Linked DNA regions of Mus musculus. The protein of the gene in region 1 interacts with the protein of each later gene in a biochemical or structural test. Links are inferred from orthologs where the notes say so. Each region holds a gene or a part of one and is shown on either strand. Other genes may lie near its edges. The genes, in order: Arih2 and Ckb.

Region 1 (7,211 bases):
AGCCCAGCTTCCTATCTCAATTCTAGTTTCTTTTAGAACCCTTCCCCCTCCCTTGACTATGTTTATCAAGGGAAATCCTTCCACCAAGAGACAGGTAAAGGTACATTGCCTCCAAGCCTAATACAAAGTTAAGGAAATGTTTAAATCACCTGTAATGTTTAAAGATCTTTCCTGCAGATATCACCCAAACTGTCTGTCATAGGATTTCCATCTGAAACGAAAAGAGACAATTTATATTTTTAGAACTGATACCCTTTCTCAAGTTTATTGTTTTTGTTTAAGAAAGGGTCTCACCACATAATGACTTGTCTTGCAACTCTACCAACCAAGCTGACCTTGAACTCAGAGAACCACCTGCCTCGGCTTCTCAAGTGTGAGGTTAACAAACATGTGCTGCCATGCCCAGCTATTTTGTTTCTTTCATTTATACGTTTTAGGTGGATGTGGGTAGAGGCAACCTTGAGTGGAAGTCAAAGAACAGTTGGTGTGAGGTTGTTCTCTCCAACTATTTGAGCTCCAGGTATTTAAAGAAGGTCTTCAGGCTGGAGAGATGGCTCAGCAGTTAAGAGTACTGACTGCTTTTCCAGAAGTCCTGAGTTCAATTCTCAACAACTACATGGTAGCTCACACCCATCTGTAATGGGTTCTGATGCCCTCTTCTGGTATGTCTGAAGACAGCTACAATATACTCAATATAGATAAAGTAAACAAATCTAAAATAAACAAATAAGTAAATAATAAAGGTCTTCAAGGTTGGCAGCAAGTGCTTTTTTTCTGCTGTGCTGTCCCATAAGCCCACTTTTGTGTGTGTGTGTGATAGGATCTAGATACGTATCCTAGATCTATAGGTATGTGTCACTATACCCAGTTTGCAAACTAGCATTACTTACCTAGCAGTGGGAGGACTGAATCCAGCTAACTAGGTAAGCACTTTACTTCCTCAAGCCCTCTACCCCCCAACCCAGATCCATACTCTCTAAGTAGCTATGGACGACCTGGAACTGTGTCCAAGCTGGCCTTGAACTCACAGAAATCAGACTGTCTCTGCCTCTTGAGTGCAGGGATTAAAAATATGCACCACATGCAGAACCCTGTGTTACTTTTTGGGACAAAGTCTTATTAAGTTGACTAGCTAGCCTGAAACTCACCTTATTTGAGGTAGGGTTTGTATTACCAATGTATAAACCAGGCTAGTTGGCCCAAAGACCTGCCAGAGTCTCCTGTCTCCACCTCCCACAGTTGCATAGGAAAACTGGAAGTACACACTTCAGTGCCTAGGTTTATATGATGGCACACGCTTGTAATCCTAAAAGCTGTGAGGTGGAAGGAGGATCAAGGTCATCAAGATGTCTCAGCTTTACAATAAAAATGCACCCAATTAGGCAATAGTAATATCTATCTCCATCTTTACTCTGTGACCATCAACATAAGCTACTCCTGAAACTCGGTTCACGAACGGAACTGAGTGGAAATTCTGAGTGCTTGCAAGAAAACTCTTAGAAAATAGATTCTTTGTTTGTTTGTTTTTCGATTTTCGAGACAGGGTTTCTCTGTGTAGCCCTGGCTGTCCTAGAGCTCACTCTGTAGACCAGGCTGGCCTCGAACTCAGAAATCTGCCTGCCTCTGCCTCCCAAGTGCTGGGATTAAAGGCATAGATTCGTACGACCTCAGTTTCTTCACAGAACTGTTCTTGGAATGTATTCTCCTGTTCTCGCAAGTGTAGCTTAACAGTTTCCTCATACTGTTTGTTGTTACTCAATTAAATGTGTAAACTATCCACATTTGGCTGGTCCTTGTGATCTTACTCATATGGTTTCTCTTAACCCTCAGAGTATAAATTATTCAGAGTATAAATGCTCTGAATAAAGTTGGTTATTTAATGAAACTTTTGTCTCTCTCATTTATCAGGTCCCACTGACTCTAGAGTGGTAAACATGCTACCATACCCAGTCACCTCATATTACAAAGGCCACCTGGTTTTTCTAGACACATGGATCCTACTATCCAAGACTTGTAAAATATTAATTTTTTCATGTCTATTGCGTTTCTTTAGGATTTCTTGGGCAACCAGAGCTTATAACTACCAAAGAATACTTTGATTATAGATAGGAAAATACAAAATTAAAGATCAAAGTCTGAACAAATAGCATGGAAAATTATTTCCCAAATAATGGAATAGCCAGACATTGTAGTGCACCAGGGAGGCAAAAGCAGGTGGGTCTGAGTTTGAAGCCACCCTGATCTACAGAGCTAGTTCCAGGACAGCCAGGGCTACGGAGGGGGAAAGGAAAAAAAAAGGGGGGGGGTAAGAGGGGGGGAATGGGCTTACAATGGCCAGGTGAGGTGGTGCAAATCTACACCTTTAATTCCAGACTGGTAAATTCAATGAGTTGCATGGTGAGATGCTGTCTCAAACAGAGGCTTACAAATGAAGCTGGGATTGATAATGCTGAAGTATCTTGCCTAGGATCATACAAAGTCAACTAGCAGAGGCAGCATCAGAATTCCATTCTAAGCAGATTCTAGCCATCACTCTCAGGAGGCCTGATTTAAAGCTACAGAAATCTCACTAACTAAAGAGCATACCCTTTCAAATTCTGATTTCTCCTTAGGATCTGTCGAGAACATGGCTCACAGCTTTTTCACCAACCAAATAACCAAGTAGATGGGAATCCAGGTTCTTTAAAAGAATTGACTGTTTCATATACTTCCTGGTGTTCTAGATTCAGATCTAAATAAAGCTTTTTTAAAATAAAAATTTTATAAACACACATATTTTTGATACAAGGTCTCACTATGATGATGTCTGTCCTCAAACTCACAAGAGCACAGCTTCCTAAATGGCCAGACTAAAGGTGAGTGACACCATTAGGCTCTGTTAAGAGATTCCTGAAGGAAGGCTGGCCTTGCTGAGCTTAGTGGCACATTCTGGGATCCCCAACTTAGGAGTGTCAGCAGGAGGATCAAAAGTGGGAGACACTGGCTGGGCGTGGTGGCGCACGCCTTTAATCCCAGCACTTGGGAGGCAGAGGCAGGTGAATTTCTGAGTTTGAGGCCAGCCTGGTCTACAGAGTGAGTTCCAGGACAGCCAGGGCTATACAGAGAAACCCTGTCTCAAAAAAAAAAAAAAAAAAAGTGGGAGACACTGTCTCAAAATAAAGCACGCAAGAAAACTGAATCCTGACTTTGTTCAAAGGGCCAATGTGTTATTTTCTTAATGTCAAAGTATTCAAGATGTTAAATATGACTATCTCAGAGAGAAATGGTACAAAATTAGTACTTTTTCCAAGAGTTAAAGTCATCTTCAAAAAAACCTGCCACTCATTTTGAGCTGGTTTCCAAGACATGGCCACATACAAAAGGATAAAGACCTTTTAGTTTGAAGTTGACAGGAACACAAAAAAATTGGCTAGTCGCACAGATGTTTAACTCCAGTTGTAACACTTGGCCCTCAGTAGTCATTTATTAACTACATTTCGAAGAAAACTTCTTGGCTGAAAAATATGAATCAGCAACTTGTTTAAAAACTCAGCAGCATCCCGGGCGTGGTAGTGCAAGCCTTCAATGCCAGCACTTGAGAGGCAGAAGCAGGTGAGTTCGAGTTCGGCCCAGTCTACACAGTGAGTTCCTTGACAGCCATGACTATGTAGACACTGTCTAAAAACAACCAACTCGACACCGCATCTGTCCTAATAATGGCAGGTAGCCGCCGATTACATGGAGTTATTGAAAGTTAGTTTACTTTTAAAAAGTCAAATGTAGTTTCTCAGATATACTAACTACATACATGTCAACACGAAAGCCGTGTGTGGCTTAATGGCTACCATACTGAACAGCAAAGGTCTAGAACGTGTTCGTCGCCGACAGAAAGTTCTACGAGACAGAGTAACAAACAGAAGAACTAAGGCGAGCTCGTCCGAGAACACCACCGCCTCTCTTGAGGCTAGACCAGTGGCGTCGGGCGTGACCGGTCGCACGTCTCTGCGAGGCGCCCCGGTCTTCGCGCGGACACGGAACCCACGCGCGGGGAGGCCCTTTCCCAGGACGGGCGTTAACAAACAGTGCGGCTGGCGCTGCCAAAGCTCCCAACCACCAGAGAAACGGGGAGCCTCCGAGGCGGTGCGTTCGCCTGGAGCGCCCAGAAGGGCAGGCCCGAGCGCACCCGAGCCTCGCGGGCCAGAGGCCCTGGCCTCCGACCTCTCGGGGAGCTAAAGAGCCAACGAGGAAGAGGAACCCAGGAGAGACGCCAGGCACCCGCCGGCGCGGGCTGTCGCCTCCGGGAGTGCCTATCAGTCGGCGGGGAACGTCGGGACCTGGGACGGCCCGGCCTCGCAAGCGGCGGCGAAGGCGGAGCCCGGACCGCGCCGGCGAAACGCGCGGGGATCCCCCCCCTCCCGGCGGCCAGTCAAGAGTAAACAAGGCCTCGACTCCCGCCGCGCACTTACCGGGAGCCGCGACCTCGCGGCCGCAGAGCCCAGGCCGGCCGGACCAGGTCAAGCCAGACCAAACCAGGCTGACGGAGGCGTAGCGGCAGCGGAGGCAGCCGGCGGACGCGGCTCAGGCCCGCGCAGCTTCCTCCGGCAGAGCCGTCCCCCGCAGCTCCGGAAGTGTTCTGCGCCGCGCGTCACTTCCGGTAGGGGTCGACCTGCGGTCGCCCTGGAGGCTCCCAGGCTTCTGACGACTGCGTAGTCGGTTGGAATCGCTTCCTCACCATCCTCTAGCGAGAGCCCCTGGGAGGAACTACTGAGCGTTCGCTTTTGAAGGAATGATGTAGGAATTTGTTTCCTGCGTTATAGCCTACCAGTGTCTTTATTCGATAGTTAGTTTTAGGTTTTCTTGCGTGTATTTTGTGTGTGTCGCACGGCTCGCGTGCAGAAGAGGTCAGAGGACAATTTTCCGGGAGCAGTTTTTCTCCTTCCACCATGTGGGTTTCGAGGATCAAACACTTGTCAGGCGTGGCAGTAAGCGCTTTTTACCCACTGAGCCATCAGACCCTTAGATGAGGTATTTTTAGCTTTTTTTTTTTTTTTTTCCCCTGACCAGACGTCTACCCACTTCACTGTTTATACTCTGACGAACAGCGTGAGAAGACATTCTGGCAACACTGGAGTAGGTTAAAAAGATCATAGTTTCCGGGCAACTATGGTTTGACATGAGCCATACTCGGAATTTCTACGTACGTTAGGAGGAAGTTCTGGCCCATGAGCAATCAGACTTTAGTTTCTCATGACACTATCCCCCTAGCCACCCACTTCTCCGACTTCCACTCACCTTCACGACGGGTATTTTTTGTTTGGTGTGGTTATATTTAGAAGCAACTCACTATATAGCCAAGGCTGGTTTGCCTTGCTAGATTACCAGACCCAGAGATTCATACATCGTAAGTGTTTCGCTGCACAACTTCTACCCACGATATAGACTGCATTAGGACTCCAGTCACCAAGTTCTGGTCACCAAGCCTTGTTGTGGACTGATAGGAGGCTCGCTCAAGTAGCAACTCCATCGAGATGTTAATTACTGGAGTGAAGCCAGAGGCACTGTGAGGTAAATCAATGTTCGTGCAAATCTGTAGATAACCTAGTTCTACCTTTTCTGGAGTGTATGTATTGGTATTCAAGACACCCGGAAAAGTGAGGCAGAAAGAAAAAAGACCGTGTAATAGCCTCTTTTATGTAATTCTTGGAAAAAATATAACTGAAGAGACTTGGGAGTTGGCTGGGCCATTAAGAGCTCTTGCTGTTCTCTCCAGAAACCTGAGGTCCTTGCCCACTATTGATAATGTCCAGGGGATCCGAAGCCCTCTTTGAACCTCTTCCGGCACACACATACTTGTAAACAGAAAATTAAAAAAAAAATTTTTTTTTCTTTTTTGAGAAAAGTTCTCACTATATATCCCTGGATAACCTGAAGCTCTGTACAGACCTAAAACTTACAAACTCACATGTGTGCAGCCACACAATCTACTTAAAATATCTACAAATTTGGGTCATGAATCAAAATCAGGGGTAATCAAATGTTGAAAGTCGCTAGAACAAGAATAGCACTTGGGGTGCAAAGGCTAGGGGAATCATTGAAAGTTCCAGGCCTCGGGAGGCAGAGGCAGGTGGATTTCTGAGTTCAAGGCCAGCCTGGTCTACAGAATGAGTTCCAGGACAGCCAGGACTGCACAGAGAAAAAAAAAAAAAAAAAAAAAGAAAGTAAGTTCCAGGCCAACCTGGTCTACATACTAAGTGCCAGGCTGCCCAACAAGGCAGCCAGAGGTACATGATCAGTAATTATCTTTAACAACAACAAAAAAAGTAGCTGGGCAGTGGTGACACACGCCTTTAATCCCAGCACTTGGGAGACAGAGGCAGGCAGATTTCTGAGTTTGAGGCCAGCCTGGTCTACAGAGTGAGTTCTAGGACATCCAGGGCTATACAGAGAAACCCTGTCTCAAAAAACAAAAAACAAAAAAACAAAACAAAAAAACTGTGCCACTTGCTTTTACAGAGAAGATTCACGTCAATTGATAAAATGTCTTCATTAAATTGGCCTGTAACGAAGACATTTTCTTGATTAATGATTGATGTAGGAGGATCCAGCCCACTATCAACAGTGCCATCTCTGGATGGGTGGTCCTGGCAGTAAAAGATTGGAAACTAAAGCTAGGCAGTGGTGGCACATGCCTTTAATCCTAGCACTTAGGAGGTAGATAGAGCTCTGAGTTCCAGCAAGACCATCCTGGTCTGTGAATCAAGTTCCAGGACAGCCAGGGCTACACAGAGAGACTATATCTTGAGAGAAAGAGAGAGAGAGAGAGAGAGAGAGAGAGAGAGCGCTCAAGCAAGTGAGAGCGAGCAGGCTGAGCAATCCATGGGATCAAACTAGTGAGCCATGCTCTTCCCTTATCCCTGCTTAGGTTTCTGCCTCAAGTTCTTGCCCTAATTTCCTTCTATGAGGGACTATAAGCTAAAAGATGAGATAAATTTTTTCCTCTTCAAATTGCTTTTTGTCATAGCCTTTATCACAGCAATAGAACACAAATCTGGACAAGCCGTGAACTTGGGTACTTGAGTTGACAAAACATATGCATATCACGATGGTCCCTGTGAAGGATCCAAATCATATTTCCTGAAAACTAGTTTCCAGTGATGACTTTGAGTTACTGGTAACAGACCCACTGCAGTGAGTACTAGAGAGGAACGGTCCGTCTGTAGAAGTATTTTACC
Region 2 (7,189 bases), on another chromosome or scaffold:
GTCTGGCCATTGAAGCAAACCCCAGACAGAACATAACCTCTGTAGCTCATAGCTCAGCCTTGCCTCCTGTCTCCTGGGTCTGAGTATGATGTCTGGGTTGACCAGGTAAGCCTGTGATGAGCCTGACCAGCAGGTGGCAGCACAAGACTGTCCTCTTGGAAGAGTCACTGTGGGGGCGGGGAACTGTAGTCCCAGCCCCTGGCTGCTGTTTTTTCCTTTCTCGGCTTTCAAATGTGGGCCAGATCTTTTCATGAGGCCCAACCAGGATAAGCCGCCATGAAGGCAGCCAAGCCTCATTTGTGCCCAGGAGCCCTGATGTGAGCCTTGGGGTACCTCCCCTTTGACCTGTCCACAGACAGGGACGGGTCACGACAGAGCCCCTCTAACTACTGTTCCCTCTCCTAGATGACGTGGCATAAAAGCTCGAAGTGGAAGCAGAGGGTTGTCTCCTCCCAACCACTAGGGCCCCAGAGAGGAAGCTAGCTGCAAATGAGAGGGACGGGACAGGGGCTAGAGAGCTGGGGGCGGGGGGGGGGGCGGTGAGGAGGAGGCACCTCGACCTGAGGACGATGGAAGCTGGAGGAAGCAGGGAGAGGGTTATTTAGGAACTGGAGTAGGGGTTGGAGCCTGGAGGGGGAGGAAGTGAGGAGGTAAAACTTTGGCTCTTCAGGCTGCCAGGAAGACAGCAGAAAGAAACTGGGGAAGATGTCAAGTTTCTGACTCCTTTAGCTGGCTGGGACTAAGGAAACACTAGGCTCCACCCTGCAAGCACAGATGTCCTTAGATGCTCAGGCTGGACTCAGAGCCTCCCTCCCTCTCTGCCCTGTATCTTCTATGGCTCATGTTTCATCTGCTAGGTGAGATGACACAGAAGGCCAGCGCGCGCACACACACACACACACATACATACACACACACACACACTGTCCCTAGGAAAGGAGAAGCAACACTCAGAAATAGGGCAGGCCAAACCCTAGTTTATTTTCAGTGTCAGCAACAGCTTAGCCATCAAAAAAATAAACTCTACCCAGGGCGACAGAAGTCTCTACAGCGAGGCTAAGGGCTCAGCCGCCAGGCGGCAAACATCAAGGATGCATGGCGGGCACTGCCCGGTTAATAAGTTAGGAAGCGGCAGCCTGATGGTGGCGAGGGCCAGGCTTCACTTCTGGGCCGGCATGAGGTCATCGATTGCCTGACCCTGCTCCAGCCGTTGCTCCATCTCAATGAGTAGTTTCACTCCGTCCACCACCATCTGCACCAGTTCCACCTCCGAGAAGCCCAGGCGGTCAGCGTTGGAGACATCAAACACCCCACCGACAGCAGCGGTGTCCACGCCACCTGCGGTGGGACATGGGCAGGTCAGCGGGGCTGAGGACAACACCTGCACCTTCTGCCCCTCACCTGTGCCTTCTGCCCCTCACCTGTGCCTCGCTTCTGAAGCCGCAGCCGCTTGAGCACCTCCGAGAACTTCTCGTGCTTCCCCAGGTGGGGCAGCTTGATGTGCACACCTGCCCGCAGTCCGGTGCCCAGGTTGGATGGGCATGTGAGGATGTAGCCCAGGTGAGGATTCCACATGAACTCATAGTTCTTGGACTTGAAGAGAGTTTCGATCTGAAGGTGGAGAAGGGAGAGTTAAGAGAAGGAAGCCTGGCCGGAAGCCCTACGGACCCTGGGAGATGTGGGCTCTGATCTGCCCCTGATCCCTCCCCAGCACCAACGCCCCTAGTGAGGAAGCCCTGGGGAATGCCCAGGCCTGACCTGAGTGAGGCCGGTGCAGAATCGGGTGAACACTTCCTTCATGTTGCCCCCCTTCTGCATGGAGATGACTCGCAGGTGGTCCTCCTCGTTAATCCACACCAGGAAAGTCTTATTGTCATTGTGCCTAGAAGAGGGGTAAAGTCAGGCTGGAGTCCCTGCCAGAATGTGGCCTTAGATCACACCCAAGAAAGACACTATAGGTGGGTGACCTCAAACAAAATGCTTCCTCAACAAAGTGCTGGAATGTGAGCTGTCACCAAGACGCCAATCCCAGCAACAGTGGAGGAAGGCAGCTCATATACATCTCAATCACCAGTCATGTGCTGTGTGGCCCGCAAGGGTCTGGAGCCTCCAGAGCATCCCACCAGAGGAAGCACGCCTCCGCCCGCTCAGTCTGCAGGGGTAGGAGCCCTGCCCGGACGGGTGCGGAGGCTTTTGCGTCATTGGCACCTGGCACGATCCCGGCGGAATAAGGGGGTGAGAAGGTGGAGAGAAAACAAGAAGCGCCGGCTCCCAGGAGGAGGGCGGAGAACAGACGCCAAAGAGACTGGTCACCACCCTTGAGTCCCTGGAGACTGCGGCCTCCCGCAGCGCAAGGACCACAGTCATCCGCAGAACCAAGGTCACCTGGGCGGAGGGAGGCACTGCACAAACTAGGAATTCAGGGCAGGCCCCACCTTCTAGGGACTGGGGGGGGGGGGGGGCTCGTACCATATGCCACGAGCATCCGGCCAGTCCCGGGCCATGCCGGAGGCCAGCAGCAGAGGCGACACAGGCTTATCGAAGAGGAAGTGGTCGTCAATGAGCTGCTGCTGCTCCGCCTCAGTCATGCTCTTGAGCGCGTAGTACCTGCCAGACAGGTCGCCATCTAGGCTGGACAGAGCTGCGGAGTGCAGAGTTCAAGGACAGGGTGGGCGGGCGAGCAAGCCCGCCGCCCCGCCTGCAGCAGTGTGTCCCCGCGGGCGAAGGTGGGTCTTCGACCCTCAGTCCCCAGTGGGAACGCGCGCGCAGAGAAGAGCGCAGCAGCTCTGGAGGCTGTTACCCGACCCCTACCTTCTACTGCCAGCTTCTCGATGGCGCGGCGCTCCCCGCGGCTGCAGTGCGGGGGGAGACAGAAGCCGCGGATGCTGCGGCCTGTGCGCACTCGCGAGCTCAGCACGTAGTTGGGGTCCAGGTCATCGCCACCCTGGGAATACAAGGTGGTGGCTAGAGTGAGCGCCGAGACCCCTCTCCCCAGCACGCCCGGACCCTGATTCCCCGCACCTGCAGGTTGTCTGGGTTGAGGTCGGTCTTGTGCTCATCACTGGGCTGGTAGCCGCCGTGCCGCTCCTCAATAATGGGGTCGAAGAGGTCCTTGAATACGTCGTAACTCTCCTCGTCGCCCGCCACTGCACCCACAGTCATGATGTACGGGTGGCCTGGAGGAGGGGCGCGGCGACAGTGACGTCACCGTCAGGCAGGAGCAAGCCGAGGCTCTTAAGGCTAAGCGCGGAGAGGGGAACAGGGGACCCCAGCCCACCGAAGGTTCAGGGAAGAGCAGTGGGATCCTTGCCCGGGGGGCTTCTTGGGGAGGCGGAAGCCTGACGCTACAGGGGTGTGCATACCCGGATTGTCTACGCCAGTCTGAATGGCGTCGTCCAAAGTAAAGCCGCTCGGCGTGCACTTGGCACGGAGCTCGGCGTACAGCTCCGGGGTCAGCACCTTGGCCATATGGTTGTTGTGGCTGCTCAGATCAGGGAACTCATCCTCGGCCGGGAAGCGCAGCTTCTGCGTATTATGGCTGTTGGAGAAGGGCATGGCGGCGGCAGCGGGCTGCAGGGAAGAGCGGGGTCAGAGGAGATTTAAACACCGGCCGCCAGGGACCTGCAAACCACTTGGGACCCCCGAGACTTTCCCTGGACGCCACCAAGGTCAGCGAGGTCTGCATCGTCAGAGTCCAGCGCATCCCAAGTTCCCGGGCGGGTCCGATGAGCGCTCCCGGCAGCGAGGCTGCGCGTGATGCCCCGGTCCCGCACCCCACAGCGTAGAGCCCCGCAGGACTATACCCCTGGCCCTTGGACCCGCTCACCGGGATGCCGGACGAAGCAGGGGCGATGGATGCCTGTGCTTGCAGCTCCTGGCGCAGCGCAGAAGAACGACGGCTGCTCGCTGCTCCCTGAGCTCTTAAGGGGCGCGTCGCCGGCCTCCCATTGGCGGCTATTTATAGCCCATTCATTCCATTGGTCCGCGCTTTGGGGTGGTGCCGCCGCTTTGTCCGAGGCAGCAGCCCTTGACACCCCCAGCGGCCCACCCTAGCGGTCCCCAAGTCTCGACCCCGCTGCGCAGTTTGGCCACCCCGGTGGTGCTCGCACAGGATCCCTAAGACGAAACCCCAGAGCCATAGATATCCTAGACCTGCTTCACACACACTGCCGGGGGCAGGAAACTGAGTCTGGGAAGCCAGATGGCACTTGAGGCTCCTGCCTTCCCTGTCTCCTCAGGCCGACTGCGTTGTAGAGAGGGTCATGGTGAGAGTCCAGGTTTTTAACATTGGGTACAGCATCCAAACACCGCATCCAGGCCATATCCTCAAGAGCCACAGAGCCGCCGACCTTCCTCAAGGTGCCTGCGGGCATCTCCTGGGTGTTCTTGGTGCAACACCAGAGGCGCAGTCTGGCTGAGGTCCCGCCCGGAAGCACCCAGGGTGTTCTGACCTTGGGCGGGCTCTAAGGAACACCGCCAAGACCCTTGGACCCAGACCCTGAAAGATTCAAGACATTTAGTTCCTAGAGACTGTTTTTGAATCTCCAAATTCTCATCTCCTGTCCCTTTTCTCGGGGGACCGGTTTCTACCACCGCACCCACAAAGAACTCCCCAACACCGGCAGGCAAACTGGGGGTGGAGGAAGCACCAGTCAAAATTAAGCTCATTAATCAGATCCAACACATTGAAACAGTCTCTCTCCCCGTGCCACCCCCCCCCACACACACACACAGGGGAAACCTGGAATTTGACCACAGCCAGTGCCAGGTGTGAATTGGAATGTGTGAAGATAGGCGTTCGCACCTTGCCTGCTGCAGCTGCCAGCAGCTTCATCTTTTTCTGGAAAGTAATTTGGCAGTATTTGTTAAAAAATTTTTAAATTGCTCTATGACCTAGCATTCCCACTTCTAGGAATGCAGCCTACAGAAAGACGGTGTCCCTTCTCTACAAACAGATCAGGAAACGTGTAGAGGGAGAAAGTTTGGATTCGATCTGATGCTCATTAGGGAATGGTCGTGGGTAGAAAAGTGTGGTAGATGGTGCAGTTGATACAAATAGAGAGGTGAGGTCCTGCGTGGCGGCACACCCTTTCTTTTTTTCTTTTTCTTTTTTGGTTTGTTTGTTTGTTTAAGACAGGGTTTCTCTGTGTAGCCCTGGCTGTCCTGGAACTCACTCTGTAGACCAGGCTGGCCTCGAACTCAGAAATTCGCCTGCCTCTGCCTCACAAGTGCTGGGATTAAAGGCATGGGCCACCACGTCCAGCTGCAGCACACCCTTTCAATCCAAGCACGAGGAAGGCAGAGACAAGCAGATCTCTGTGAGATCCCTCAGGCAGATCCTTCCTCTAAAAAGAGAGTCCAGAACAGCCCTGTCTCAAAAAAAAATCAGTATCTGTGCTTTCATATTTAATGTTCACTCACAGCCACTCACTCACTCCTGGGCTAATAAAGCAAGAACAAGAGAAGCCTTCATCCTTGCATGTTTGACAGAATATCTTCAGTCATTTGTCTTTGACAGTTTCTCTCTCTAGCCTTGGAACTCACTTTGTAGACCAAGCAGGTCTCAGAGCTCTGCCTGCCTCTGTTTATCCACTTGTGGACTTAAAGGCATGCTCCATCCTGCTCTGAGGGATTGCAGTCCAAAGCCTAGCTTCAGAGAACTAATGGCACACTTACGCCCCAGAGGAAAAGAAGCTGAAGATGGCTTTGAGGGAGACTGCTCCCCCTGAGCCTCCAGCCACACATGAGGTGCTAGATGCAAGGAACGTGCAACAAAAAGTGCACAGGAGGCACAGGGACCCTGCCTTTCTGTGGAGGCAGGCTGCCTGGAGGAGCGAACTGTGTGAGGTATGACAGGAATTCCAGGCTGAGATAGAATGTGCAGGTGCCTGGGGAGAAGACTGGAGTGAAGAACTCGGGGCAGAAAGACTGCCTGCCTGCCTCTGCCTGGGTAGAGTTGAAAAGTCACCTCTGTTCTGTCCCCAGGGCTACTACAGAGACTCCTCCTGTTTTTCACTCACCTTGGCCAGCTTTAACCTATTGTGTTTTGAGACAAGATCCCATAAACCAGGCTCTTTCTGTCTCAGCATCCCAAGTTCTAATATGGGACTGAACCACTATGCCCAGGTCAAGCCACTTGGGGGGGGGGGTTCAAGACAGGGTTTCTCAGTATAGCCCTGGCTATCCTGGAACTCACTTTGTAGACCAGGCTGGCCTCGAACTCAGAAATCCGCCTGCCTCTGCCTCCTGAGTGCTGGGATTAAAAGTGTACGCCACCATGCCCGGCTCAAGTCACTATTTTGTAAGCCAATAAAACAACCTCACATGGGAGCTGGAGAGATAGCTCAGTGGTTAAGAGCTCCGACTGCTCTTCTGAAGGTCTTGAGTTCAAATCCCAGCAACCACATGGTGACTCACAATCATTCGTAATGAGATCTGATGCCCTCTTCTGGTATGTCTGAAGACAGTTACAGTGTACTTACATATAAAATAAATAAATTAAAAAAAAAAAAAACCTCACATAAGGAGGTATTCCAGCAGTCAGGAAGAAGAGGCAGATGTATATCTGTGTATTAAGTTCAGCCTAGTCTACATAGTGCATTCTGGGGCAGTCAGGGTTACAAAGAGAGACCCTGTCTCAAAAAAAAAAAAAAAAAAGGGAAAAGGGAGGGGCAGGAAGATTAAGAATCAAGGCCAGCCTGGGCTCCAGGAGTCCTAGTCTTTGGCTAGACAGCAGGTGTGCCCTCAGCCTGTATTCTGTGCTCCCGGCAGCCTCTCCCCATCTCAGATATATCTGCAGCTGCCTACCCAGTCCCTACCCCTTTCAGGGAAGCTGGTTCTGCTTAGCCTCAAGTGCTCAAGTTTCTATTTTAGAAATAGGAAGCGAACTTGTTATCTAGGCTGGAGGTGGGGGTAGGGGGCTCAGGGCTTCCTCTTTGTCTCCAGGATTTGCAGCTTAGCCTTTTCTCCTTCCTTACCCCTTTTTATCTCCCTGCCAGAGCAAGACCAGGACTCTGGTAGAGGTGAGGAACAGAAGTCAAGGGTGCCTATTATCCCAGCACTAAACCACACCCAGTGCAGGCACAGGTTCCTGTGACCTTTGACTACTGTCCCATTCTGCAGATACACAGAGGAAAAGACACAAAGAAGTACTGGCTCAGAAGGTCCTGATATCCCCCGATGGTCCTAG

What was found.
Region 2: of the proteins of Arih2 (region 1) and Ckb, one has a biochemical effect on the other in vitro, tested with the Homo sapiens proteins (2 studies listed by BioGRID). The link is inferred for Mus musculus from reciprocal best matches to the Homo sapiens genes ARIH2 and CKB.

The regions. Positions count from the first base shown.
Region 1 is NC_000075.6:108,644,784-108,651,994, forward strand, and holds the start of Arih2 (E3 ubiquitin-protein ligase ARIH2), read right to left. Parts: upstream 4,626-7,211; 5' UTR 4,446-4,625; intron 3,814-4,445; exon of another isoform or gene 3,788-3,813; intron 1,318-3,787; exon of another isoform or gene 1,149-1,317; intron 212-1,148; 5' UTR 150-211; intron 1-149.
Region 2 is NC_000078.6:111,668,404-111,675,592, forward strand, and holds Ckb (creatine kinase B-type), read right to left. Parts: upstream 3,936-7,189; 5' UTR 3,827-3,935; intron 3,571-3,826; 5' UTR 3,556-3,570; coding exon 3,363-3,555; intron 3,177-3,362; coding exon 3,022-3,176; intron 2,945-3,021; coding exon 2,812-2,944; intron 2,642-2,811; coding exon 2,470-2,641; intron 1,883-2,469; coding exon 1,759-1,882; intron 1,612-1,758; coding exon 1,422-1,611; intron 1,339-1,421; coding exon 1,160-1,338; 3' UTR 952-1,159; downstream 1-951. UniProt on the Homo sapiens protein: Reversibly catalyzes the transfer of phosphate between ATP and various phosphogens (e.g. creatine phosphate).